4 linked regions of the Alligator mississippiensis genome follow. The protein of the gene in region 1 interacts with the protein of each later gene in a pairwise test. Links are inferred from orthologs where the notes say so. Each region holds a gene or a part of one and is shown on either strand. Other genes may lie near its edges. The genes, in order: CREB3, flavin-containing monooxygenase 3, TSPAN4 and MFSD5.

What was found.
Region 2: the proteins of CREB3 (region 1) and flavin-containing monooxygenase 3 interact in binary tests that used the Homo sapiens proteins (3 or more experiments, as listed by UniProt). The two-hybrid records come from large-scale screens. The link is inferred for Alligator mississippiensis from reciprocal best matches to the Homo sapiens genes CREB3 and FMO3.
Region 3: the proteins of CREB3 (region 1) and TSPAN4 interact in a two-hybrid assay, tested with the Homo sapiens proteins (2 studies listed by BioGRID and IntAct). The two-hybrid records come from large-scale screens. The link is inferred for Alligator mississippiensis from reciprocal best matches to the Homo sapiens genes CREB3 and TSPAN4.
Region 4: the proteins of CREB3 (region 1) and MFSD5 interact in a two-hybrid assay, tested with the Homo sapiens proteins (2 studies listed by BioGRID and IntAct). The two-hybrid records come from large-scale screens. The link is inferred for Alligator mississippiensis from reciprocal best matches to the Homo sapiens genes CREB3 and SLC61A1.

Annotation. Positions count from the first base shown.
Region 1 is NC_081826.1:303,315,002-303,321,849, reverse strand, and holds the start of CREB3 (cyclic AMP-responsive element-binding protein 3), read left to right. Parts: upstream 1-3,842; 5' UTR 3,843-3,924; intron 3,925-4,246; coding exon 4,247-4,423; intron 4,424-4,522; coding exon 4,523-4,769; intron 4,770-4,914; coding exon 4,915-5,024; intron 5,025-5,192; coding exon 5,193-5,270; intron 5,271-5,769; coding exon 5,770-5,876; intron 5,877-6,367; coding exon 6,368-6,436; intron 6,437-6,640; coding exon 6,641-6,725; intron 6,726-6,848. UniProt on the Homo sapiens protein: Endoplasmic reticulum (ER)-bound sequence-specific transcription factor that directly binds DNA and activates transcription. Plays a role in the unfolded protein response (UPR), promoting cell survival versus ER stress-induced apoptotic cell death.
Region 2 is NC_081828.1:45,459,562-45,466,575, reverse strand, and holds the start of flavin-containing monooxygenase 3, read left to right. Parts: upstream 1-3,998; 5' UTR 3,999-4,095; coding exon 4,096-4,101; intron 4,102-4,464; coding exon 4,465-4,602; intron 4,603-7,014. UniProt on the Homo sapiens protein: Essential hepatic enzyme that catalyzes the oxygenation of a wide variety of nitrogen- and sulfur-containing compounds including drugs as well as dietary compounds.
Region 3 is NC_081825.1:184,699,015-184,706,324, forward strand, and holds the start of TSPAN4 (tetraspanin-4), read left to right. Parts: upstream 1-4,290; 5' UTR 4,291-4,980; coding exon 4,981-5,313; intron 5,314-7,310. UniProt on the Homo sapiens protein: Structural component of specialized membrane microdomains known as tetraspanin-enriched microdomains (TERMs), which act as platforms for receptor clustering and signaling.
Region 4 is NC_081838.1:9,208,013-9,215,075, reverse strand, and holds MFSD5 (molybdate-anion transporter), read left to right. Parts: upstream 1-4,303; 5' UTR 4,304-4,705; coding exon 4,706-6,064; 3' UTR 6,065-6,553; downstream 6,554-7,063. Other genes in the region: nuclear receptor subfamily 1 group D member 1, read left to right, coding at 1-25, 211-689, 1,079-1,264, 1,752-1,962, 2,349-2,545. UniProt on the Homo sapiens protein: Mediates high-affinity intracellular uptake of the rare oligo-element molybdenum.

The sequences.
Region 1 (6,848 bases):
TCGGCTCCCACTGAGACCCAGTGGGAACTTGGCCAGGTTGGAACTGGCTCACCACGACAAGTGGTTATTAATACCTCTCATGGCGTCAGGGCACTGGCTGGGAACGTCCCTCCTGCCGAGTTGGCAGCTACAAATGGCTCATATGGCATGGTGTGTCAGACCCCAAAAGGGGCAAGCACCAGGGGCTCAGATGGCTACTGGGGTGGTCTGGCCTGACGAGGCTCCCTGCAGGCATGGCAGTCCTGGCCCCTCACCTCCTCCTTGCCCCTCTGCGCTGGCCGGCTCCCGAGCACGTAGTGGGGCACCGAGACCACAGAGGTCTCTGGCCGAGCTGTCCCCGGACCCCAGGCACGAGACACGGAGCTGCTTCCAACACGGGACTCGCTCCTTCCTGTTTCCCAGGGTAGCATTTCTGACCTGGGGAGGGAGCTCAGCAGCACGTGACCCAGGCAGCCCCGGCAGGCCACAGCCTTGCCAGGACCAGCACGGAGCAGCCTCCAGTCCCACACAGGCCACTTCATCAGCACTGAGCGCAGGAAACCCAACCCCAGCCCAACCAAGAGCAAAAGCTGCCCACAGGGTCAGGCTTACTGCCCATCCGCCGGGAGGCCCAGGGCTTTGCAGGACAGCAGCCCCTCCTGCTCTGGTCAAATGCGGTCCGCAGCGGCACCACTCCCCAGCTGGAGACCAGCATGTGTGCCTGAGGCAGCCAGTCTGGACCCTACCAGGCGCCACCGTCACTAACAGAACGGAGTCTCCCCACCTGGGACAGGATCACTGGTGACACCGTCTCCTCCCCATGGGATTTGCCCCATGTACCTGAGCCAAGCTGCCCTCCCCAGGCCAGCGGGAAAGCCCCTGCCCATGAGGGCCAATGCTCCCTGCTTCCAGGCCCTTGCCTTGCACAATTTTCTTCAGCCACACAGTCCTCACAGCCTTCACTTGGAGGCACCAGGTCACTTTGTGCCAAGCCCCGTTGTAGAGGAGAAGATTAAAATTAACTCCAGGCCAGGACCACCAAGGCCCCATCACGAAGCGTGGGCAAGCGAAAGCAACCCCAGCCTCTGCTGGAGGGCCTGAAAGCTGGGCACGAGGGGCAGGAGGCATCCGACGCTGCCAAGCTGGTGCGATGGCATTGCCTCCTGCCCTGCACAAGCAGCAGGACAGCAAGCCCGAGGCAGACATCACGATGCGCAGCATGACACTTCAGGCGCTACTCTACCTGACACGTGGCGAAGGGGAGCGCAACCTCACCCCCGCTGGGGGGCACAGGCGGGCTCAGCACTCATGCAGGGGCAGCACTTGCCTCAGCTGACAGGACTGCTGATGGCTCCACAGCAGTTGCCTCAGTTGCCCTGTAGCCCTGCAAGGCAAAGCTCTGGTGGCACAGCACCGTTGCCCCCGCGCTGCCCCGCAGAGCTCAAAGCAGTCCCACGTGCTCTCCTGCCCATGGAGATACAGCTCATGTCTGCACAGGCGCCAGCGCCAACAAGAGCCAAACAGCATGCCAAGGGACTGGCGGATGGCGCCCCTCCGAAAGCCCAGCCGCAGCGGAGCGGGGCAGCCGTGCCAACATACAAGAGAGGGTCTTGTGCCTAGAGGGGCGCAGCCGGGACGTGGCTCTAGTCAAGGCGACGGCGGCTGGCCCACCTGACCGTGCCCCCATACAGAGGAGCAACCGTGAGCAAACCTGCTGCCTTGAGTCCGGCCAGCCGTTCTCCAGGCAGGAGCAGTCAGAAACAGGCTCACATACCTGTCCAGACCCCTCACGTGGAAATGCACCCCCAGCCCTTCATCTGAGAGAAGCTATCAATCGCCTCACCTGGCGCCTCGCTGTCACAGGAAGGGCTTCGAGATAAAGGCCCCGCCACGCTCTGCAGGGCATGTCGGGGCCCGAAGCCGCTGCCCACAGACCAACGCATCTGCCTGTCCTTCAGCCTGGAGCACAGGCCCACCTCCCTCCCAGGCAGCTTCCCCCTCTGCCCACAGACAGGCAGCCCCTGCGACCTATCCCCTTCAGAAGTCCCCGGGCCCCAGCACGTGCTGGGGACAGCCCGGCAGCTGCCTTCAAAGAAACACTCCAGCTCTCAGGAAATGTGGGCATGGGGTGAACCCGCAACTGGGGCAGGGGAGAGGCACCCCCAGGACAGGTACTGCCAGGACCCCCAGCCCCACGAGGCAACAGAGCTCAGGGGAAGGCGTGAAGGCGAAGAGTCATCAGGTCTCATCAGGTCAGGGCCACAGAGCCGGGAGGATGCCAGGAGGGCAAGCAGCAGACCTCCCGCAGCGAGGAGATCCCTTCCCTGGGGCAGGGACCAGGAAACGCTGGTGGTTTCACAGCCCAGCAGCTGCATGGGACCGGGAAGCCTTACACAGCACAGCGCTGCGGACCTGGGGCTGGCACAGGGAGCGGGCGGGAGCCAGGAACCCTGCAGCAAGAGCTGCAGGACACAACTGACTAAAAATGGAAAGCGCCCAGCTCCGCGCTGCCAGGCCCCGCGGCCACGTCCATTCATCACCCGCTAAGCCAGACACTGCACGGCTCGGCCCCCCGGGCCACAGCCAGCTGGGCTCCACGGCAGGGACCCCCGCCCCCAGCCACGGCCCAGACAGGCCGTCTCGTCTCAGGGAAGGGGGCAGAGCAGGGGGCAAAGCCCCAGGTGCCAACAACGCCAGGGCGGCCCAGCCGAGCACCGCAACACCCCCGGCCCCGGCCCACGTGCGCCACGCTCCTTACACGCGCCCCGCGGGGGAGGGGGCAGCAGGCCCCCCGCGGCGCCGCCAAACCATGGCTCAGCCGCGAGTCAGGATGCCTCACACCCGGGACGGGCGTTGGCACGGCTTCCTGCCCCCCCGCCGCCCCCCAACGGCAGCTGCGGGATCCAGCACCAAGTGCGGCCCCTCCCGCACCCGCCCTGGGGCCCGGCCCGGGGCTCCCGCGCGCGCCGCCTCCCCCCACCCGCACCGCACCGCACCAGGCCTGGGCTCCGCCGTGTCCTCCCGCCCGGGCCGGCCTGCATCTGCTGCCACCGCCCCGCCCCGCCCCGCACACAAACCTGTCGCACAAAACCGTGCCCCGGGCCCGGAGCCGGAGCCGGCGGGCGGGCGGGCGGGCGGGCGGGCGCCACCAGGGCCTGCGCGCGGGGCGGAGGAAGGAAGCGGCGGGCGGGCGGGCGCGGAGCGAGCAGGAGCCGCAGGCGGCCGCGAGCTGCGCTTCCTGCCAAGAGGCAGCGGGCCCCACCCCGCCCCGGCCCGGCCCGGCTGACACGGCGGCACGGCAAGGGGCCGGGCAGGGCCGGGCAGGGCACCGGCACAGCCGGGCGCCGCGCACGGGGACCCCAGGGAGGGCTGCGCAGCGCGGGGCGGCCCGGGCCTGGGGGCCCGCACGCCCAGCGCCCCCCGCCCCGCACATCGCGGGGCGCCCTGCCGCGCACACCTCTTAGGGGCACCCCTCCGCACGCCCACCCCGGGCGCCCGCCTAAGCAGGAGACCCCTGCGGCGCGCGCTCTGGCCGCCCACATCTGGGGACACGCATCTAAGCACACACATCTGCCCCCCCGCTCCGCGGGCACGCACATCTGCCCCCTCCCCCCCCCGTACCTGGCCCGCGGGCTGCGCGGCGCTGCGGGGCGGACGCGGGGCTGGGAGCAGCACAGGGCAGGTACAGAGCGGCACTCTCAGCTTCCCGCCCCACGGCCACTCTGGGCCCTGCGCTCGATGGTGCCGGCGCAGTGAGGGCGCCGGGCGGGGTGAGGCCAATCGGGCGCCATCTTGGGTGCGGGCAGCGCCGCGGCCAATGGAGGCTCGAGGCGGCTCCGGCCCCTCGTGGGGCCGCGCGGTGGGTGCTGGGAGCCGCGGGCGCTGACGTCATTCCTGGTGTGTTGGAAGGAGGCGGCGGCAGCTGCGGAGCCGGGGTCGGCGGAGGTACCGGCGGGCGGGCGGGCGGGGCCGGGAGCCCAGGCGCGTGCACCCCCCGGGCGGGGACCCAGGTGCCCCCCCCAGACAGGATCCCCGGCGTCCGGGCCGCGGGCAGGCGGCAGCGCCAGGTCCCGCCCCGCCCCGCCCCGCCCGGGACCCCCCCCCCCGGGCCCGCCCCGCTCGGGCCCCCCTCCTTCCGTGGCTGGGCCCCTCTCCCTCCCCCTTGGGCCCCCCCCGCCCGGGCCAGGTCCCCCCCTCCCCCTCGGGCCGGCCCCGCCCCCCCTCCCCCCCCGGACGTGGCCGGCCCCGCTGACGGGTGCGCGCGCAGATGTCGGTGTCGGTGGCGGCGGCGGCGGAGCGGGCGCCGCTGGCGCTGGCGGACGGGGTCGGGGTCGGGGACGGGGTCGGGGTCGCGGACGCGGACCGGGACCTGCTGGACTTTCTGCTGGCGGAGGGCGCGGAGCTGCCGGCCGACCCCGGCGCCTGGGGCCTGCTGGAGCCCGAGGTGAGGCTGGGCCCCGGGGCGGGGCGGGGCGGCCCCTACCCCTACCCCTACCCCTACCCCTACCCCGCCCGCCCGCCACGCTGACGCTGGGGTCTGCAGCTCCCGGGAGACGAGGACGTGGACGCTTTCCTCAGCGCCCTGCTGAGCCCCTTCGCGGAGGGCCCGGGCTGCTCGGCCCCCGCGCAGCAGCCCCCGCACAGCCCCGACAGCCGGGCCGCGTCCCCCGGCAGCCCCCCCGGCCCCGACAGCGTCCAGTTCGAGCACAACTACTCCCTGCTGCGGGACGGGCTGTGGCTGCAGCATGCGCCCGCGGGACCCGCCGACGGCGACGTCTTCATCGACCTGGGTGCGCACGGGCCGGCCCCGCGCCGAGCCGCGAGGGGCAGGAGGCTGCGGCCGGGGCTGCCCCGAGCCCCCGGGCCCAGGAGCTGGTGGGGGAGGCTGCGGCTCCGTGGGGCGGGGGTCGTCTGACCCCTTCCCTCCTCTCCCAGACGCGTGGGCCGGGCTGGAGAGCGCGGAGGAGACCTCGGGCAGCGAGCAGAGCTTGAGCTTCCCCGTGGCCGTGGCCGTGGAGGACGTCGTGCCTGGGACCCCCACGCAGGTACAGCCCCTGCTCCCAGGAGTCCTGCAGACGGGCCGGCAGGTGCCCGCGGGGAGGCCTGTCGGGTACCGCGGACTAGCGGAGGCTCCTGCGCGGGGACAGTCCTGGTTCCCGGCGCCCGCCCCGCCTGGCGCTTCCTTCCTTACCCTGGGGTTTGCTCGTCTCCAGCTGGACCTGACGGAGGAGGAGAGGCAGCTGCTGGAGAAAGATGGCGTCACACTGCCGTCCCACCTGCCCCTCACCAAGGTGAGCCCTTGCCCGCTGGCACCGCACCCCTCCCCAGGCAGGGGTTCAGGTGTGGGCACAAGTGCTGAGCAGCAGCCCCAGTCCCCGGGGCCGTGGCACGTGGCTCAGCCTCGGTGGCTGGAAGGGGCAGGGGGCCAGGCCCCCACTGCTGCTGGCCCCACTCCTGTGGCTGCCCCCAGCCGGCTGCTGTGCTGGACCTGCAGCCACTGCCCCTCGCCCTCCTGGCAGCCAAGGCGTCACCTTGTCACGAGGGGCCTCGCTGCGCTCATGCAGGGAGCGGGCAGCGGAAGGATGGAAGCTGCCCGGCCCGTTAAACTGCCAGGCCTGTGTGCAGCCAGCCTTGTCCCGGGGGCCAGGGCTAGCGGCTCTGCCCTGTCCGCCTCCCTGCCTGTGCAAGGTACCTGCTGGCCGCGGGCTAGTGGCTGCACGGCCCAGGGTCCAGCCTCGCTGCCTGCCTTGGTGCCGGGGGCACGGCCAGTGACAGCAGTGACTGTTGCAGGCTGAGGAGCGGCTGCTGAAGAGGGTGCGTCGCAAGATCCGGAACAAGCAGTCGGCCCAGGACAGCCGCCGGCGCAAAAAGATCTATGTGGATGGGCTGGAGAGCAGGTACCAAGCCCGGCGTGGGCGGAGGGAGCCACGCATCAGTGATGTGGGCATGTCCCCCTGCCACAGCGCCTGTAGTAGGGGCTGTATCCATGACCTGGGGCACGGGGAGCAGTTCCATAGGAGGTCCTGTTAGCCCCACAGCCTCGCCCAGCTGCCATGCTGCCCCTGCGGGGCAGCTGGAGCTCTTGCTCCTGTGGCTGAGGGCCCAGCCCCTGCTGTGGAGAGCCAGGCCCTCTTCCTCTGGGAGCCTCCGCCTCTTCTGCTCACGTCCCATGGAGCCCTGCCCTGCCTCGTCAGCTGGGGGCTCCTCCCAGGTGCCTAGCACAAGGGCCCTGCCCCCGTAAGACCTTGGGAGCCCAGTGCTAGGAGGGCCGAGTCATGTGCAAGGAGCCGGGCCCTCCTGCCCTGCGCCGTCAGCCCCCAGGCGCTGAGCTGAGCCCCCAAGTCTGGTCTGGCTGATGTGCTGTCTTGTGTCCCCTGCCTGCCGGAAGGGTGGTAGCCTGCACGGTGCAGAACCACGAGCTGCAGAAGAAGGTGCAGCTGCTGCAGAAGCAGAACATGTGAGTCCCCAACGTGAGCACCTGGCAAGGGCAGCGGGGCCCTCTGTGGTCCTGAGCCCCTGCAGGGCAGCACCAGCGACTGGTGCAGAACAGTCCGAGCCTGTTTGCCAGGCACGCTGGAACTACGGGACCAGGGGGGATGGGAGGAGGCTGGCCTGGCCCGGGGCTGCGGCTGTGCTCACCCCGTTTCCTGCTCTGCTGCAGGTCGTTGCTGGAGCAGCTGCGGAAGCTCCAGGCCCTGGTGCGACAGTCCTCAACCAAGACTACCACAGCCAGTACCTGTATCGCGGTGAGTGGCCCAACAGCCAGGCCAGGGCCTGTCCCCTGTGCCGCGGGAGCCTCTGCCAGCCCACACACTCTCTCCTGCAGGGGCGCAGGGCTCCCAGCAGCGTTCGGTCCCCAGCCTTGGGCC
Region 2 (7,014 bases), on another chromosome or scaffold:
GATACACGTTACCACCTGCTAATCAGTGGCAGGCAGGCTGTGAATGCTTAGTGATACAGGCTCTTGCCTCCTACTCTATGATAGAACTGGTGGGTTGTAGGCATCTAAACTGAGTTGGATTGTTTAGGAACAGGGTAGTGTCAGGGCATCTCAGAGAGGTTCAGAAGCAGCACAGCCCCAGTCAGCTGGGTGCCTATAGAGCAGACAGAGTCAAAGCCTCTGGGTCCCAAAGTGGTTAAATCCCTGCTGGTACTAATTCCCTCTGCACCCAGGCCATGCTGGCAAACAGCACTGCAGCACTGATGGCGAGCAGCAAACCTTAGCACACCAAATGGTAGCAGGTTGGCTTGGGGCACTTCAAAGCAAAGTGGGGCAGCCATCAGGATCAATCTTCATTTGCTGCAATAGTGCATTAAGCATTCAGAGACATGGTCCCCTGGAAAAAGCACACACCATGTAAGGAAAGTATCAGAGGGAGAAAGCAGTTCCCCCGCTGAACTGTGGCAGTGGCTACCTTCCCCCTTAGAACTAACATGCCAGCGGTGCTTTATGCTGTCTACTTAATGTGTTCCACATGGAGCACGCTCCTCATAAACATTACTTAGAACAGGAATAAATCCGTCCATCAACACTTGCAAGTCAGCAATTGCCTCATTGAATTGCTACATGAGAAACTTTATTTTTTGGGAGGGGGGTGACAGGGGCAAACCTAGAATTAGCCTGTGGCCATTCAGGAGTTTGGAAGGGGAGCAGGTCTCTGTATATAATTTGCTGTCTGGCCAACTGCAAAACATTTACCCACACACTCTTCTTACCATGACCTTCCTGTGTTCTTCTGGTACCTTGTGGAATAAGGTAAAACATTAGGGCTGTGCAAAGCTTCAGGTGGTGATTCAATTCAGAGGAGATCTGGCCCAATTCGGTGGCTGCATCTCCAAATCTGAATAATCAGGAGACCAATTAAAAGGTCCAAATCAATTCAGAACTCTCCGAATCTTTGGAAAAGATTCGAAGAGCTTTGATATTTCGAGCAGTCCCCAGTGCAGCTTTGATGATTCGAGCAGCTCCCAGCTGCAGCCAACTCTGAGCTGGTAAGTACTAGGGGTGGAGGAAGGTGGGCTGGGGAAGGGGGGAGGGGACCATGGGGGGAGCCCCCATCCCCTGCCTGCTCCCCCAGCCCCCCACAGGTTCCCCACCCGCCCTAGTTCCCGGCCCTTTCAAGAAAAACCCTGGTGCTCACTGGGTGCTGCCGGGTAGGGGGGGTGATCCCCACTGCCCCACACTGTATGGGAGGCTCTGCATGAGCCCCCTGACCTCTGCTTCCCCAGCCCCGCCATGGCTGCCCTGCCTGATGCAGCTCTGGCCCTTCAAGGGAAAAAAAAACCCTCAAAGAAAAGCCTTGGGACTCACCACTCCTGCAGCAGCCTTGGGGCTTCTGGGGGCTCATGCAGAGCCCCCAATGCAGCAGGGGGCAGCGGGGATCGCCCCCCCCCCCCACCACCTGCAGGAACAGAGAGTCTGGAGGTTTTTGTTTTGTTTTTTTCTTAAAAGGCCAGAGCTGGGGCCAGTGAGGCAGCCATGGGGGAGGACTGGGGCAATGGATCAGGGGGCAGTGGGGGGCAGCAGGGATCTCCCCCCTGCCCGGCAGCACCTGCTGAGTCGGGGCTTTGTTTTCCCCCCCAAGTGCCGGGAGCTCAGGTGGGCAGGGCAGTCACTGCCCAGCTGATTTGGCCAAATCAATTCGGGACAGTGATTCAAATCACCAAATCCGATCGCTATCCCTCGAATCAGCCGAATCCAAATCCAAAACGAATACTAGCCACTTCGCACAGGCCTAGTAAACATTTATAATATGGAAGTGAGAATATTATACACAATGCCCTAATATAAATCACAGTTATGATTCTCTGTATATGCTGGGGATTGTAAATGTACCAGACAAATTAATGGGGTTCTAGGCTGTACAGGGAACCATTATAGATCCTGCTCAGATTCTACAGAATTCTAATGCACACCAGGTCAGAAACATCAGCCAGTGCTAAAATAATAGGACTGATGTGTAAAAAGTTCTTTTCCTTCCTTTTCCCCCCTCCAGCTTTTCAAGTTTTACACCTATGGAAAGCAAAGGCAATAACCAATGTTAGACATCTGAGAGGTAATTGCATAGGACATTTAAAAAATAGAAAAACATTTGCTCGGGCCAGATAGAAACCAGATGGAAAAAGAAAGTCAAGCGGATATGCAGAAGTGCAGTCAGGAAGAAGACTTCAAGAGGATAAATCTGCTTACAGAAGGTAAAAGTATTACCCAAAGGCAACCTGCATATCCCAAGGCTTTTCCCATGACAGCATAGGAAAAGCTCTAATACAGTTTGCACCCGCTAGGCCTCGAACATCTTGTTCCGGGCTTCCTTAGTTCGAGCGTTCAACGAGACTTGCTTTGCCGTTGCAGGTGGTCTTACAGGAGGTCTTTACACGTGCTGCAAGCTGCCCCTTTCTAACCTGCCACGACTTTGAATCTCTTACAGTGGGGGGCTTCGTGCAACACGGTTGCCCTCGTTAGACGCCTGCTCCTTTGGGGTCTTCCGCGAGGCTCCACCTCCCCTATACCTCACCCTATACCCAGCCCGGCAGATCCTGGTCGCTTTTGTGGCCAACCTTGTGCTCCATGATCACTCCCCAAACAACGAGCCCTCCGCTAGCCTTCCCACTTTTCCTGCTTCCACTCGACCTCAGCCCCTTCCGACATGGGGAAACATAAAATACCCTTCTCTAGTCAAAGAAAAAGACTTAATGAATCCTAAGAAAATCACCACACTTCTGGGCTTCCTTGCGGAACACAGATAGCCCTTCCGCATATCAATTCGCCCACAGGGCCTCCTCAAGGTGCCCTAGCTTCGTGGCTCAGCTCCCCCCCTGCCCAGGTTAGAGCCGTTCTCCCTCCAACTTCCCGCTATTGTGACCCTCTCTCTGGGTCCTCTCAATATTGCTGACCCCTCTCTGAGACCTCCAGTATAGTTGCCCTCTCTCTGGGTCTTCGAGATGCATCTGCCCTCTCTCTGGGTCTTCCCAGCGCGGCTGCCCTCTCTCTGGGTCTTCCCAGCGCCGTTCTTCTCCCCGCACCTTGATCCCTTTTACCGACTCGCCTCCTGCCTTGCCTGTCGCTGGGACTCCTATTCCGGGCTCTGGCTCGCTGCCTGGGTCGTCTGCTCCTCCACAGCCGGTGACTGTCGATACTCCCGGCGTCCCACGCCCCCAGCTGACTCCACTGGTTGGACTCTCCCTTGGCGTCCACGCGCCCCCTTCCTCTCTCACTGCCGGCCCTCTTATTTCCACCAGCTGATGATTGGGGCTGACGTCATTCATCGGCCGCAGCTGAATAAAGGCACAGCTAATAATCCGCGCAAGCTTCCCCCATTGTCCTTGTTTTTCGTCGAGTCCTGCTGTAAGTAATTTTTCTTTTTTTACTTTCATTTTTCTTGCTCCTCCCCCCACTGCTGGCCCTAGGGTTCCCCTCTTGGGCTTGGGAGTTTCCCCGGTTTGCCTCTCCTTGTGACACAGTTCTTCATGGGAAGGGGGGAAAAGTTTGACCCCACTGCTAAGAAGCGGCAATTTGGGGAAACTTGGGTGTCCTCCAGTCATTTTAATTTGCATTCAGGTGTCTCCTGCTGGTTACTCAAATGTAGGACCATCAAGAACTCCACAAGAGAATGTTTCCTTAACAATTAGAGAGACTGCTTACCAGTGGTTGTGAAATGGTCTGGATGCTGTTACACAGCTAGTGACACAACTGTGGGAAGTAGCCACACTTTAATAGAACAAGAGCTGGGTAGTATGGATCAGAGATAATCCTGCCCTGGAGTGTCTTAACTTCGAGCCACATACTTTAAAGTGGTGTAATGTATGGATAATTCAGGGGTTAAGAGCTCCAGGAGCTACCCAAAAATTACTGTCTAACAAGTCCCTAAAGGGGATTTGCCATTTAAGATAAGCTCCTCCCTCCATTCAATTTCTTGCCTCAAAGACTAACAGATATCAGGAACAGCCTTAGTCCTGCCTGCCTGAAACTCAGGGAGCTGCTTGGAGAAGAAAAGAAATGCATGTAAGTGGGGGAAGGAGGAAGGGGCTTCGAGGAAGAAAATGTAAGGAAAGCTGCTGACCTGAGCCAGAGAAATAGGAAGAATAGCTGAGAAAAGCAAAACTCTCCAGCAGGTCTTGGCTATCAGTCCCATTTCTTTAGCTTATTGGACCTGAATCTGTTTTACTGAGCATTAGTAATAATCAGAACAAGCTACAACTACTTAGAGAGAGAGAGCGAGAGAGAGTGCATGTGCAATATACCTGTCCAGAAAGGTGCCCTGATTTTTCCCAACAGAGCTCTTAGCCGTTCTGCTGATAGTGTGTCTGATTCTTTCCTATTCCATAAGCTGATCATATATGTTTCTCCCCCCCACCCCCAATACAGGAGACCATGTTAAAAAAAGTGGCAATTATTGGAGCTGGTGTCAGTGGACTGGCATCCCTTAAGTGTTGCCTGGAGGAAGGACTTGATCCCATCTGCTTTGAGAGAAGTGATGACATTGGAGGACTCTGGAATTTCACAGTAAGTGGGGAGTTTGTTTGGTAATGACAAGACACACATTGCTGAAGGCTGTCTGTCTAGTAACATTCCAGCTTCCTCCTCTTTCCTCCAGTGTGCTTGGCCCTGTATTTGTATATTATTGCATTGCTTTCCATGAGGTGTACAGACTGCTTGGCTCTTTCAGCCCAGGGGCCTATAATATCTTTACAAGAGATTACCTAATGAAGAGCACCATGCCATTTTGTGGCATTGATCAAGGATGATGTTATCTGTGCTAATACTTGCCCAAATGGGTTACAGACGCTCAAGGGCTTATATGGAAAGGAACTGAACGTCTACAGTTTCAGAACTGTGAGTGCTCTGAAATTTAGGTCTTCAGATCTTGTAAAAGTTGATTCATGTTAATCACACTCTGCAGTGCAACCCCCCTCCCCCTCTCCCCCCCCCCCCGGCACCTTCTTATTGCAGCCAGGAAAGTAAGTCACTGGGATGGGTTTTATTGTGCTTTCCACCATTAATAATTATAGTTAACTGAATGCCTTAACAAAAACACCTTGTTTCAGCTTCACATATTTCAGAGTGAGGGTAAAGGAGTAATTTGGGGACAAGAAGGAGGTGCAGCCTGAGCCAGCTTAACAGACCATATTACAAGTTTGCTTTGGCAGGCAGTGTCAGGGATTTCAGCATGACAGTGGTTATTCATTCAGCCATTATCAGGGCATGTTTGCTAGGCTCCAATTCAGGTTAGAAAAATACTATGAATTAGGGATTTGACAATAGATGAACTATTAGTTTACTGACTGACACGAATAATTGGAGGGAAAAAAATTGCTTGAATTTAGCCTCAAATCATTTTATTTCAGTTTCCTCAGAAAACTGAAAAACTGAAAAGCTGTTAAAAAGCTTGGTTCCATATGTTTTCCATTTTGGGGTTTATAACAAAAATCTGTCTGCCTTTTTTAAAAGAGTTCCTTATAACAGCAGAGGCACAATAAAGACTATTAATGGAGTTGTTTGTTACTCCAAAACAGAAAGTTTCTTATAATTGATTATCTTATTTTATTAAAACAGTAAAATCTTATTTCCATTATGTTTGGGATGAAATATTTAGAACTGATGTGGGATAGTGGACTGCGTAAAGGCCCAGTGTAAGTTGCAGTTCTGTTTTAACACTGGCTAGAGATTCATGTGCCCATCTCTGGGTCTGTATTTCAAGTTCCCTATTTATAAAATAGAGCAATAACTGAGGTGAGGAAAGGTTCAAGTTTGTGCACTGCTATGAAGATGGGTTGATCTCATGGCCAAATCACCCCAGTCTGCATTAAAACCATTGGAAGAAGGCTTTTGAAAGAGATGTCTGAGAGCAGTCCTAGAAGTTCTCCATATTATACGCCCCCATATTGTTCTGTTGGAAACTGGTGTTTGCCTCCTTCTCCTTCTACCCCCATGGAAAGGCCCTGGGGACCTATGCACGAAGCCTACTGGTGCTCTTCATCCCTCTGTATTTCCTGGTAATGGGGTTCCATTGCACTAACCTGCACAGCTGCAGATCCCAGTTCCCCAGGGGAAGCACTGCAGAGATGTTAATACAAGCTGGGGCATTAGTTCTTTTTCTGAGGGTTCTTCATCAGGCCAAAGTCAGGGGACAGTGATCTTATGCACATACCACTCAGCTACCCCACCCATTCTCTTTTCTCATCCAGTAGTGGACCTCAGACTGATAGAAACTACCACCCCAGGACAGAGAGCACAGGGCTGTGAGTCACCCAGCTGTAACTGTCAAAGAGAAATTATAGGAAACAGCCAAAGGCAAGCACAAACCATGGAGTCCATAAAGGAAATGGAAGCCTTCCCCAGGGACTGGATGGCCTTGTAAGGCCAGGTCTGAAACATGGGTGCCTTTGTCTACAATACCACCTGTATAAACCAAGAGGAGGGAGCACCTTACATTGCCTTTCAGAGCCTGCAGTCCATTGTCATATGTGATCTCCCCCCAGTACAGAAGACCATAGTAAAAAAGTGGCAGTCATCAACTTAGTTCTTCTTAAATTTAGAACTAAATCTGAAGGACATTGAATTGGCAGGAAAATGAAGTCCTTTCTCTGTTGAACTGCTACAGCAAAGGTGGTGGGGTAGTGGCACTGGTGGCAGCTGCTGCTTTCTTCATACCACCCTTGTAACATATCCCGGTACTGGTTTGCAGAGACTACCTCAAGGAGGCCTAGGGGGGATTCACTTTCTGTGGCTATTCCAGCTTTAGCTTCCATAGTGACCACAAAAACATGTTAATACCATCTCTAAGCATGGTTCTTTTATGGAACAGATGCTTAGAATAGGACCAAGGCCCCTGTCTAGTTTCACAGAGGTCACACTGCCTGCATCATGCACTGCCAGGGAATGCTTGAATGAGAGATGTCCAGGCAGCTTCTTGGC
Region 3 (7,310 bases), on another chromosome or scaffold:
TGATGATTTTAAAAGAGGTGGATTTTGAGGGTGAATCTTACCAGCAGCTCAAATTATTATATATCACAAATTAGCTCTTCATAGATATGAAAGAGAGATTTACTATGAAGCTCCTTGCTAAAAGATGCCCATTAGGGAATTGGCATTACTACAAGATATATACCACAGGTGAGGTGTTGAAAGGCCTCTGCCTCTCTTCTTCCCTCTCCCAGTATAGATATCCTGTTGTCTGAAAGGTAGACACTACACATTGTTGTTTATTATTCATTCTGGAGCCACTTTAAGGCATTCCTTTCTTCTGCTTCACTTTATAAATAAATCTACCCTTTGCATTGAGGACTGAGTTTCTAGCAAGTTTAAATAATTTTGCACTTCCATCCTCTCAACTGTCAGGTTACTTCTGGTTCCTTATGATCTTCAGTGCAGGTGGTTGAAATGAAAAAGAGGAAGTAAGGCAAAAGAAAACTGAGAATTCACTGCTTATTTTCAGTGGGAATTGATGATTTGCTACCTTAAGAGAGCATCAGATCTGGTGCTTCTGCCTCTTCCTTCATCTGGATGCCGGCAAATATGGATTAGTTGTAGGACCCTCAGGAACAGGATTTACAATGGAAATGCTGAATTGGCCTCTGTTTTACTTCAGCAACACTGTAGAGCACCACAGTTAATACCAAGTGGTCAACTGACACTATTTCAACATTGTCTATGTGCAACATTGTCCACCAATTAATGTATGCTCATGGGCATGGGCATTTTTATATGCTCACAAAGGGTGTTTTACAAACATGATTCACCACCCACACAGATTATACATCCTGAAGATACAAAGGAATTATGTTGGCACCCGAGAAATGTCCTGCTGGTTATCCATTTAGTAATACTACTCTATTATTTCATTTCACCAGTTCTTTCTCTGCAGAGATATAGCCTGCAGTATCTGAGTGTTTTGAATCAAAACTAGTGACAAAGGTGATACCTTTTATTAGACCAACTAGATATTTGCAAAAAAAATGGCTTTATCTGCAAGCTTTTGGGCACAGGCACCCTTCACCAGGCATAGGAGATTGCAAAGATTGTAAAAGTTCTCCTAGGTAGAAATGAAAATTTATATTTCATATTGAGTATTTTGAAGGCATCAATGAGTTTAATCTCACAGTACCCCTAACTGGTAGTGTTGTTACCCTCATTTTACTAGACATAAAGGCTAAAACCACCAAATTTCTCCAGGGACAAAACCTTCTACTCTAGAATCCTACAGAGGGAAGAGCCCATTGTTCTACTTTTAAGTACCTGTGAAGTACAAAGAAAACTGTCTCTCTGCCCCCCTTCTGGACTATCTGGTCTAAGTGGAGTTAATTGCCTTTCAAGCATGTAAGTGACTGTCCTACACCCATTTTGATGGAGTGAAAGCCCCAGACAATCATACTGGAGATAAAGCTGACATCTGCTTTTAGCCAAAAAGATGCTTTAAGGCAAGGCTGTTCAGGGAGTCTATGATAGATTAGGTGGGAACTCATATGCCTCTATTTCCCAGGCACAGGGAGGAATCAGAGCGGGGAAGTGACAGTCACAGGAAAAGTAAAGGGTGAATCAGAAGCCCAGGAATTCTGTTTGTTTGGGACAGTGCTTGTACCCTGGAAGACAAGGACTTTATTTTTGGGACTGGGTTTGTACATCAGAGAAAAGGGAGGGAGCAGATAGCAGGTGTGGATTGTAAGAGCCCACCTTGTGAAAAATGCCTCTTTAAACAGAATGAGGAAACTGAGGGATGGGTGAGTTGTAGCTCACCCAAGGCTCAGAGGCAAGTGGGATCAGAGCCACACTTAGAATCTGGGAGTGCATAGTTTTTCTTCCTAATGGGAGATAGGCTGCAAAAAAAAAAAAAAGGGGGGGGGGGGGGGAGACAGGCTGCACTAACCCACTGTGGGGAAGATATTTCATCATGACCAGGGGGAACATCATGACCATTAAGGCAGTTTTCCTACTTGCAGGGGAAAACCACTTTCTTGGTGGGGGTAGGACCTTGTCCAAGGTAATGTATAGTTGACCTCCCACTTTCTCTTCCAGTGGGAAGGTCTTGGCTTTACACCCGCTTTATGGAAATGGAAGACTCCTTCTGTGGCCATATGGCTGAGGGCAAATTGAAACTCAGGGGCATCTGAACCCCAAGTCTCTAGGATTGGACCTGCATATAGGATACTTGCCAAAGGATTTAGAAGCATCTGAAGCCCCAGGCAGGGGTGGAGGATGTCTGCTGGTAGCAGGGCCACATATGGTTCTTGAATGACTCACGGATTTGGAATTGATTTGGCTTGGAAGATGAAAAATTTTCCTTTAAAAAAAAAGAAAAAAGGAGACTCCTCCCTAGTTTGCTTCAGGCATACGGCTGAGGGCATGTAAAACTCAGGGCATCTGAACCCCAAGCCTCTAGGTTTGGGCTTGCACATAGAACACCTGCCAAAGGATTTGGAAGTATCTGAAGCTCCAGGCGGGGGTGGAGGATACTTGCTGGTAGCAGGGTCTCATATGGTTCTTGAATGATTCACACAGATTTGGAATTGATTTGGCTGATTTGACTTCGGACACAAAATTTTTTCCATAAAAAAAAGATGCTAACAGCCTGTGTCTGGTGAATTCTTATCCTGGAGAGAAGATGAATGAGAACCATTAGACTCTAGCATAGCAGTTTATAAATGAACTGAGTGAGAGGATGGTTTGCGAGAATGAACCATGTGAAACCACCACATCTCACTTTCTCTAATTTGCTCTCTAATTAATTGATGTCTGTGTCTGTGTTGATTTGTGTTGGTGCCGCTGTGATGGCTCTTATGAGAGACCTGGTTTCAACTTGATTGTTTCTTTACCTGAGCAAGCCATTTAAAAACACCAGCTAGCTAGTAGCTACCTCTTCACCCTGCCCCAGGGAAACAGTCAGTGACAGTTGCTGCCTCCCAACCCTACAATCCAAATTAACATGACATTTAAAGGAGGGGAGAAAGGAGATAATAATGTTCCTATTTTACAAATGGGGGTGTGAGGCACAGGGGGAAGACTAAAGACTTGTCCAAGGTCATATAAGAAACATACAGCAGAGAAGGGAATTGAGCCTAGCTCTTCTGAGGCTCAGCCTATGCATGTAACCATAGTCCCAGGCTCCCTTTCTGAAGAAGTTCTACTGCAATGGGGGCTAAAAAAAAATCATAGGAAATGAGGGATGGAAGGGACCTTAGGAGGTCATCTAGTCCACCTCCCTGCTCAAAGCAGGACCATCCCCAACTAGATATTTTGTGGCAGGCATGTCACAAATTAACCCCACATTTTCTCTGAGTATAACTCTGATCCCCTCCTTCTGCCAGATCATCTGTTCTGCTTTCTGCTCCCTGACCAATCTGCTGCTCTGTTTTGTGCTCCCTGTCTTGTCTGACACTGCGCTGTTTGCCCCCTCCCTGGTTTGACAAGTGCCACACAGAGGCTGCCCATACCACTTCGGCATCCCTGACACAGTTTGGCCACCCCTGTTTGACTGCATGAGAGATTGTAGACTGCTTGGTGAAAAGGTGGTTGAAATGTCAGTGTGGTAGCAGCCAGTTTGAGAATGTGATACCCCCACATGTCAGTCTAGCAGGCTACAGGACAAAGACAGAGACAGGTATGTTGGCAGAGAGGCAAATGAACTGACAGAACTTTACACTGAGTAGTGTAACAATATAACAGGAGAGTGCCCCCCTCCTTGATAGACTTAGTACACAGGTTGAGCTAGCCTTTTTGACAGACTTTCCTACAAAACACATGTGCAAAGGATGCATGATTTTTTTGGTCAAAATTCTGATTGTCCTATGTGATCAACACTCCCTGTACGAGTGTGAATATTTCAGTCTGTCATATAGACATACTCAGTCCTTTTAAGACCGATTGCATTTCAGACTACATCTGAATTCAGTTGCTCCTTGCTAAAAACTAAATCTCAGGAGCTGCTAGCAGCTGGGATGATTAAAACTCACCCCATGTTCCAGTGTATATTGGACTGGTGGAGAATAGAATTATCCAAGGGAACGGACCTGGTGAAATCTAAAATACATGCTGTGGTCCCTCCACCTGCACGCTGATTGGTTAAAAGCAGCTCATGCTGGATTTGCTAAGAAGAAACCAAGGGGAGGTTTTATTTTAAAGAAGGTGGGGGTGAGAGAGTAATATTGTCTGAGGATAATTTTGATTGGCTGGGGGAGGGCAGGAGCCAGCGAGAGTGCTGAGCCTGCATTCATGAGATACAGTAAGAAAGCTCATTCTCTCTGCCTCTCGCTTCAGATGCAGGGATGGACCACAGAGCTGTGACTGTATACTAGCAGAGAGCATGATTGGACTGGAGTCTCAGAGGAGTGTCAGCAGCACTGTGAATGAAGCTCCGTGGCTCACTTACCATAGGCTCTGTCTGTGTGAGAGGAAACAGGGATCATTAAAGTGAGCGGAGCATCTCAGGGCAGAGCAATGTGGCTAAGAGCAACGGGGCATGGGATCTGTTCACCTTTTGGATAATTTCTGTTCTCGCCCACAAAGCTGTGCAGCGTCCCCTATGCAAGTGGGTGGCATGTGGAGCCAAGGTTTTATATGGCATTTGTGATAAATGCAAGATCCAACTTTTTTCTAAATTTTGTTGCTTTGGGTACAGTGTCTCTCTCTCTCTTTTTCGTTTTTGGTAGCGGGCCGGGCCGGGGGGGAAAGTGTGACACCGGAGGGAATGTTTTCTTGTTCAGAAATCTCTCTCACGCGGAAGCACGCTGTTCCCTTACTCCTGGCTAAGCAGACTTCAGTTCACCAACTTGCACGCTTAACTCCTTGACAGAATGGCAGGCCAAAGAACAGCTGTTGCAAAGCAATAGGGGGATAAGGAAAGAGGAAAATAATTAATAAGCCTATCGCCCCCGCCGCCAACACTCAGCAACTACTGCATCACTACTAACCACGGACCGCTCGGAAGTCACCATGCGCAGGTCTAGCACCGATGAATCGACCTATCACAGGAGCCCTTCTTTGGACAGCAAGGATTACAGTTTTCCAAATGGCGCCTTCCGTCGCTACAGCAGCATGTACGGTGGCCAGTTTGGAGCTGCCAGCAACTCATTTTTTGGATTCCACACCAACCCAGGCCCTAAGGCCACCAAGGCTAAGTACACGTCCCCCAAGGGAAACAAGTACGTTGTCTTTTACCTGGATCTCTCATTTATTTTTCTCCTAGAACTGAAGAGGTGCAGCATGGCTCACAACTGTCTCCAGTGCATCAAGTACCTAATGTTTGTCTTCAACCTTCTCTTCTGGGTGAGTACATGCTACAAACCACAAGATGTTTGCATTTGTGTTTATTAAGTTTGTGGTGGTTTGTAAAGTTGTTTGTGGTGCTTTATAAGGTTATTGTTTCTTTTACGCTTCCTAACAGCTGAAAATCGCATGTAAGTGAGGTCTAGGCCAGTCCTCCTTTGGCTATGCTTAGATGGAGCCAAGATAATATGCGTGGTTCTACAACCCAAACAGTAAGACCCTGATATAGGGCAAAATACACTGTATGCAAGGTCACTTGTATAGATGTTCTTTGGTACCTGGAAGTTGTATGTTCACTGCATGGCCTTGATTCTTCACTAGTTCAATCTACACCTAACTTTGAGTATGTGAATGGTCTCATTGGAATCAGTAGGACTATTGTGTGCTTAAAAATAAGCAAGTGCTGAAGTGCTCTGCTAGACTTAGGACAATGTGCTAAGTATCTTACACTATTCAGTTGGTTATGAGGAATCTGCAGATAATTTTTCTTCCCCATCATTGCTGGCTCCCTGTGTAAGTATTTCCTCTCAGAGTTGTATATCTAAACTGAAATCCAGTGCCTGTCTCACCTAGTTTGAATTATTTGAGGTGGTTATTTCATGGCCTGAATTCACCCGAATAGGAGGTACTCATGGGCCACCACGGCACACAGGACAGGACGTATCTGCATGCATCTCTATGTCATTTTAATAGATTAAGCAGTTGGCAAAAGCAGGCAGGTGGGTATTTCTCTGCAGTGAGGGTCCTGAATGCTGTGATCCATGTTAAAATGAAATAACTTGATTGGTAAGATGGTAGAGAAAGGGAGTTCTTGTTGAAGGTAGCCCACTGCAGTTCCCAGTGTGGGAGGCTCTCTTAATAGGGGCCTGTCTTCAGTTACTTCATTTGTGTTGCCCCCAATGTGGACCATCAGTGTGCTAAGGCAGAAGGGAGTGTCCTGGCAGCTCTATATTGGTACAAGAAAGGACATGGGGTAGGGGGGAGTGTATTGTAGCTGAAATTCCTTGCTTGCTTACTACAGATTCTCTATGCTATCATGCCTTGCCAGAGGTGAAAGAAAAGGATGTGTGCACTAAACTGAAAGAGTATTTTTCCCCCTTGTATTAAGCACTAGAGTACAGCTGCTAAAGCCATGCATGCTGCAGTGTCTTGTGCATCAGAAAGCACTACATGTAGGTAAGTTCCACTGGTATGAGTAACACCCCAATGCCAAGGGGTCAGGATGTAATAAACTAATATGCATCCACTGAGTGTCCTGGTTCAAAGAAGGGATATAAAAAAACAGGGAGGGGGGCCTTTTAAAGCCCCAGATAAGCTGATAGAAAGTGTCTCCATGGGACTGCAGCTTGTCTTCCAGCTCTGATTTTCACATGCTGCTGGGGTCCCATAAGTCGCCTGATGTTTATCCCAGCTTATTCCAAAGCTTCCTGAAAAAGAAAGGGATGCTGGTTCTTGCTCTTTTAAGCCTTTTGCTTCCTCTTAGACAATCAGCCGCCTCTGACCAAGATTATGGAGCAGTCGGCAATCTGAATGGTGTGCTAGAGAAATCCGATGGAGTTCTGGCATAAATAGCCCTTTTAAAAACTATGTTTGGCGGTGCCACAAAGACTGTTCTCCCTATGCTGCTTCCTTTTATTCCATTCAGCCTGAACCGAAGCTTATGCATATGTTTAAAAATGTATTGCTGCGTGCAATGTGCATGCATTTACAATGGGAAGATGCCAGGCTATTTCCTCAGAGTGTTTCACAGTGGCAAAGCTGTAACAGTTTTTCAGTAGCAGGGGTGAGGGTTGGAGGGGGAGATTTTCTTCCACTGAAACCATGAACGCTTGTCCCAAGCATTTGGGGGGAAAGGGCTGGTTAAAATGAAAGAAAATATGCATCATAACAGTGCAGGCACAGGGAACGGGTGGTGTCAAGTGCTGCAGCACGGTCTCTACTTTGTTTCCCTTTGACATGCTTCGTGCACAGCAGGAATGATTGATGATGATCGTGTC
Region 4 (7,063 bases), on another chromosome or scaffold:
CTGGCCGTCGGCATGTCCCGCGACGGTGAGTACCCCCCAGCCTGGCCGGGCACTTTGGGACGGGAGGTGAGAGGGTCTGGGGGGGTGGGTTAAGCAGCTCCCACTCCACCGCAGCCTTGCAGGGCTGTCCTGGGCGCCTGTGGGGCCCCCTCTGCACCCTTCCCTGCCAGGGGCTTGTTGCACCCCACTCATCCTCGATGCCCTCCACAGCCGTGCGCTTTGGGCGCATCCCCAAGCGGGAGAAGCAGCGCCTGCTGGATGAGATGCAGAGCTACATGAGCAGCCTGGGTGAGGCGCCCCTGGACGCGGGGCTGGCGCCCGAGGGCGAGGCGCCACCCAGCCCCGTGGCCCAGGAGGAGGAGGCCATCGGCGCCATCTCCCGCGCCTACCACGACATCTTCGGCAGCGGGCAGGACCGGGCAGGCGGGCCTGGCCCCCCACCTGGCTACGCCGACCTCTCGCCCGGCTACGGCTACGGGCAGCACGACCCTGCCAGCCTGCGTCTCCCTGGGTACGACCCCGCCAGCTACCCCGACAACACCTCCCAGCGCTATGGCCACGACCTCTACGGTGCCCAGCAGCCCGGCTACCTGCCCAGCCCCGGGAGCTACCCCGCCTTCGAGTACGGCTACGCTGAGGGCAGCCCCCCGCGTACCTGCCCATGGCGGGGGGCAGCCAGCAGAGGCATCGTAAGTACGGGGCTGGCCCCAGCTGGGAGGAATGGGGGAGCCCAGCACAGGGCCCTTGCCCGGGGGGATGTAGGGCAGGCACAGCTGGGCATCTGGGGGGAAAATGAGGCACAGAGAGGCCAGCAGTGGCATCCGGGCCATGCACTGGAGTCAGAGCTGGGAATAGAGCCCAGGAGTCTGGGCTCCCAGACCACCCTCCTTAGACCCAAGCACTCTCCCAGAGCTGGAAATACAACCCAGGAGCTACAACCCTGCAGCTCCCTGCAGCCCTGGACAAACCAGTCACCGTGGGGGGCAGGGGGCTGGGCAGAGCAGGATGGACCCTGGGGGGGTTGGGAGCCAGGCACCCCAGTGTGGTGGAGCTGACTCTGCCCCGCCATGCTGCCCAGGCCTGCCCACTCAATGCCAGCCCCTGCTGCAGCCCGGGCACCAGCCGGCAGCAGGCGTGGGAGGAGTTCTCACGCTGCTTCACGCCCGCTGTCAAGGAGGTGGTGGAGTTCGCCAAGAGCATCCCCGGCTTCCAGGGTCTCTGTCAGCAGGATCAGGTCATGCTGCTCAAGGCCGGCACCTTCCAGGTGTGTGTGTCTGTGTTTGTGTGTGTTAATGCACTGCCCCTTGCAGGGGGGATCCAGCTCTGTGTGCGCGCACACATGTGTGTGTGCATGTTGCCCTGCTGGAGGGAGCCAGCCCTGCTTTGTGCATGCGTGTGCACATGTGTGTGTATGCATGCATTGCCCCATGCTGGAGGGATCTGGCCCTGTTCTCTGTGTGTGCAAGCACATGTGTTTGTGTGCATGCATGTGCATGTCTGTGCATGCATGTTCATGTGCATGTGTGTGCAGGGGTCCAGTTCTGTATGTATTTGCACTCCTCCATACCTCGTGTTGTGGGTGTCTTCACCTCCCCCTGCGCAAACGGGTTTCCTAAGCCTTGCTGCCTGCTCCCAGCCGCCGTCTGAACTTCTGGGGCCACGTGGCTTAGCTCCAGTGCTGCCCGCGGGGGCGCTCCCTGCACTGTGCCAGGCTGGGCAGGGCAGGGCACACTGACCGGGGTTCCCCGCAGGTGCTGATGGTGCGCTTTGCGGCGCTCTTCGACCCCAAGGAGAAGGCGGTGACGTTCCTGAGTGGGGAGACGCACGCATTGGGCGGGCTTCGGGCCATGGGGATGGGTGCCCTGCTCGATGCCATGTTTGACTTCAGCGAGAAGCTGGGCACCCTGGGGCTCGACGCCCAGGAGATGGCACTCTTCATGGCCGTCGTGCTCGTCTCCGCAGGTGGGCGAGCGCTTCGGGGGGAGTGGGGGGATCCTGCTCTCCACCCCTGGGCAAGAAGAAGGCTTGGTTACAGGTCACAGCTCAGCCTGGGGGTATCCGGGCAGCCAAAGCCTGGCCCCTTCCAGCCCGGGCGGGGTTTGTCCCAGGGCTTTCACAAATAAGCATTGCCCAGCTAAGGTTGGGGGCTTCCAGACATGCGAGAGAGGGGCGGGGGTTTCACAGGTCTGCATTATAAGTCCTGTTCCTCCCTTCCCTCCCCCGGAGAGTTTGGTCCCTGTGTTGGGAGAGGCCACATGTGTCATACACCTCGTACGGCTGCCTCCTTGCTCAGGGGATCCCCCTGGGACCGGGCAGGGTGTTACCAGGCAGCTCTGCCTGCTCCACAGACCGCTCGGGCATCTCAGACGTGGAGGCTGTGGAGATCCTGCAGGAGACCCTGATCCGGGCGCTGCGGACGCTGGTCACCAAGAAGCACCCCGACGACTCCACCCTCTTCCCCAAGCTGCTGCTGCGCCTGCCTGACCTGCGGACCCTCAACAACCAGCACTCGGAGAAGCTCCTCGCCTTCCGCATCGACCCCTGAGCCAGAGCTGGAGCCAACGTCGCTCGCGGACTGGGCGGAGGGAAGGGGGTGGCCGGTGCTGCTGGGCAAGCCCCGTGGAGCCAGGCTCTGCTTGCCTCAAGCCCCAGCCGGGCCCCACCGCCCGGCATGGTGGCCTGGACTGATCCCCGCCGTGGCACACTGTGCACGGCACTGTACATATGCCCTACTTTCCTCTGGCAGCACGTGCAAACGTGCATGTGCAAGCCTCTCTATTGCCCCGAGGCTCGCGCCTGTATATATCCAGCCTGCCTGCGTTGTACATGCCAAGTAGGTCCCAGGGGACAGATGCCCCCCAGCTGCATGCTGTGTTCCCCCATGTCTCCCCTCCCCGCCCCTTCCCAGCCCAGGCTCGCTCCTGCAGGGGTCCTGGGGGCTGCATTTGCTTCCAGCTGTGGGGAAGAGCCATGCCAAGAGGCTGTCCCACAGCTCCTTCACTCCCATCTCCCTGTTCCCCCCCACCTGCTGTGTTTGGTCTTGGATTTTTTAACATCTCAAGCAAAAACAGGGCTTCCACTGATGCCCGGCACAGCTGAGCCCGCGTCTCTGTGGCTCGCAGGGGGCTCAGCAGCCTGTGGGGAGGGGTCCTGGTTCTCCGAGGGGGGGCAGCTTGCTGGCTGACCTCCCTGGGGCCCTCCCTTTGCCCACGCAGGTCCCACCTTGGGCCACGGGGCTTTCTGAAGATGGACTCTTCCCTGCTGAAGAAGCTGTGTGGCCCACATTGAACACAGGAGATTTGCCTCCAACTCTTCCCGGTCTCCCTGACCTCCTGTTCCTCTAACCACTAGACTCGATTCCCCTTCCGGGCGGGGGGCAGTCACTGGGCTGGGGTCCAAGCACAGGGCAATGCCTGCCCCCCATCACATCCCCATACATATCAGGTCGGTGCGGGGATAGGGGGGGGACAGATACGCCCAGCCCACCCCATGCATGGCGCGAGTGGGGGGTGCTCTCTGCAGGAGCGTGGAACTGCTGCTGCTGCTTTGTTCGGTCGTCGGAAGAAAAAAGCCCCCAAACTTTGCACTTTTATGAGGAATGATGCACAGCGAATCCTCCCCCGCCCCCTCGGAGTCGGGCCGGGGGCGGCCGGACGCCGTGGACAGAGAGCGTTTATTTTTTCTCGAATATCAAAGTGCAATAAACTGAAGGAAAACAGAGCTGAGCGTGGCAGCGTGGCCCAGGCGTGGCTGTCCTGGGACCGGGGCAGGGTTGATGGGGGGGTGTAATCCTGCACCCTGAGCCCCCAGCGTCAGGAGCCAGGGGAGCTGGGTAGAAGCCGGTCCAACGCAGGAGCCGGGAGTGGGCCGGGCCACCTGCCCTGCCGGGTCTGGGAGTGCCACACCGTGGGAGCTGCGCCGTGGCTCGTGGCCCCCGCTGACGGCTGCCCTGCGGCGCTCCTCGGCTGTGCCCACGCTGCCCTGTGCCCACACCATTGCTGTGCTGCGCCCATGCCAGGGCCACGCTTGCCCACGGCCACACTCGGCTCATGCCAGGGTCATGCTCCCCCTGCAGGGATGCCGGTTGCCATAGCAATGCAAAGATGGCATGGGGGGGGCAGTGGGTCTTTTCTTAATGACAGCCAAGGGGGGGCATAGAGGAAAAGTGGGAGTCAAAAGTGACAAAGGTAAAAGGTCACAGCGTGGGGGGGGCATGGGTCACATGACACCGCCCAACATGGCGGCGCCCAGGAGAGGCAACGCAGAAATGGGGAGCATCACGTGACACCGCCCACAAGAGGCAGCATGGAAGTGAGGATCACGTGATGGCGCCCGGGCGAGGGAACGCGGAAATGGAGGATCACGTGCCCTGAGAGGCAACGCGGAAGCGGGCGGGTTAATCACGTGACACCGCCCAACATGGCGGCGCCCAGGAGAGGCAACGCGGAAGCGGAAGTGGGGGCGGGCGCGGGGCCGCGACGCCGGCAGCCCGAGTGTCCCGGGCGGGAGGTGAGGAGCCGGGGCCGAGCCAGAGCCCGTGTCCCGGCGGCCCCAGTGGTTCCTGGGGACGGGCCTGAGGTGAAGCCTTCGGACAGGGCCGCGCAGCTGGCTGTCCCGAGTCCCCCACCCGTCTGGCAGCGTGTCCCTCTCTGGCCCCAGGAGCCGCGGAGCAGAGCCCGGGCAGCGCAGGATGCTCTGAGGCACCATGTTCTTCACGGCGTACGTGGCCTTCGTGGTCCTGCTGGCGATATGCCTGGGCTTGGAGTTCTCCGCTTGCCGCTCCAGGCTCACGGGCAGCGCCTGCACCAACCCAGCCTTCCTGCGCTTCCAGCTGGACTACTACCAGGTGTACTTCCTGGCGCTGGCAGCCGACTGGCTGCAGGGCCCCTACCTCTACAAGCTGTACCAGCACTACCACTTCCTGGAGGGGCAGATCGCCATCATCTACGTGTGTGGCTTTGCCTCTAGCGTCCTGTTTGGGCTGGTCTCCACCTCCCTGGTGGACTGGCTGGGCCGCAAGAAATCCTGCATCCTCTTCTCCCTGACCTACTCCATCTGCTGCCTCACCAAGCTGTCATGGGATTACTTCGTGCTGGTGGTGGGGAGGATCCTGGGCGGCCTGTCCACGGCCCTGCTGTTCTCCGCCTTCGAGGCGTGGTACGTCCACGAGCACTTGGAGCGGCACGACTTCCCTGCTGAGTGGATCCCCGCCACCTTCGCCAGAGCCGCCTTCTGGAACAACGTCATCGCCGTCGGGGCCGGTGTGGCGGCCAACCTCTTTGCCGAGTGGGCGGGGCTGGGCCCGGTGGCGCCCTTCATGGTGTCCATCCCTTTCCTTGCGCTGGTCGGCATCTTCGCCATGAAGAACTGGGAGGAGAACTACGGTAAGAAGCGGGCACTTTCCAAGACCTGCACGGACGGCCTGAAGTGCCTCCTCTCGGACCGGCGCGTCCTGCTGCTGGGCATCATCCAGGCCTTGTTCGAAAGCGTCATCTACATCTTCATCTTCCTCTGGACACCTGTGCTGGACCCCCATGGGCCTCCGCTGGGCATCGTCTTCTCCAGCTTCATGGCTGCCAGCATGGTGGGCTCGTCACTGTACCGCATCGCCACCTCCAAGCGGTACCACCTACAGCCCATGCACATCCTCTCCCTCTCCGTCCTCATGGTCTTCTTCTCCCTCTTCATGCTGACGTTCTCCACCAACCCAGGGCAGGAGAATCCCTCTGAGTCCTTCCTAGCCTTCCTGCTTATCGAGCTCTCCTGTGGGCTCTACTTCCCGGCCATGGGCTTCCTCCGCCGGAAGGTGATCCCCGAAAAGGACCAAGCGGGTGTCCTGAACTGGTTCCGGGTGCCCTTGAACCTGCTGGCCTGCCTGGGCATGCTCATCCTGCACGACAGTGACTACAAGACGGGCACCCGGAACATGTTCACCATCTGCTCCGTCATGATGGTCATGGCACTGCTGGCTGTCGTCAGCCTTTTCACCGTGGTGCGGAACAACGCTGAGCTGCAGGTGCCGCCTTTGCAGGGACACACAGAGCCGTCATCCCCAGAGCTCTGAGCAGGGGTTGCAGCCACCTGGCATGACAGAACAACCCTTGCCAGCTAGCATGGTCCCAGAGGGCAGTGGGATGCCTGTGATCCTCCTGTAGAGGGCAGGGCTCTGTAGGATACTGGGCTGCTGAGGAGAAATGAGCTCTGAGGCCTGGGCTGCAGCATTGGACTCATGTATTCTGACTCTTTTGGGGAACTTGCTGTCCTGACGTGGTGCGGCACCCCTGGGTTCTCCTCTTGCCCCCAGTGCTCCCAATTCTCTCCTTCCCCTCCTCTACCTCTTTTCTCAAGCTGCCAATGTCAGTGGTGCTGGGGAAGGGCCTGCCTGTGGCAGGCAACACACTGGTGGCAGGGCCCAGCCACCTGGTTCCCAGCATTTGCCGGCAGGGGGATTGTCTGTGTATTAAAGTATTGACCCCCTGTCACTGCAGAAGCCAAGGGTCCCCCTCCACTCTGGTTATTATTTTTTAAGAAAAATAAAACTGCTTCCACAGAATGGTTTTTGAGCCCGCGAGGTTTCTTTCTGGGCTCGGGCTGTGGACGGGTCAGGATCCAAGCAAGAAAGAACCAGCCCCACGTTGCTGCGTCTGCAGAGCGTGGGGAGGCAAAGGTGGCAGAGGCTGAGCGGTTCTTGCAGGACACCTTGCAGTGCTGCCCTGGCTTCTCCCCATGCTCAGAGGAGCTGTGGTGCTGGAGGCCATCCCAGGGTGATTGGGCATGCAACTGCTGGAGGGGGCAGGGGCAGGCAGCCCAGTATGGACTGGGGAACCTGGTGTACTCGCAACCTCATGTACGTCTCCTAGAGGCAGGGGCTGTTGGAGAGGCTGAGGCCTGGGACCACCCAGCAGGTCATTGCCCAGAAGTGTGTCTGGTCTCACCCTCCTCCCCCATCCTCTTCCCAGGTTTTCTCCTTCCCTCTTTCCCACTCTTTTCCTTCTGTTTTCCTGGGGAAGCACTGGCTGCCAATCCCTGTCCTGGGTCCTCTCCAGCTGCAGGGGGTGCGTGG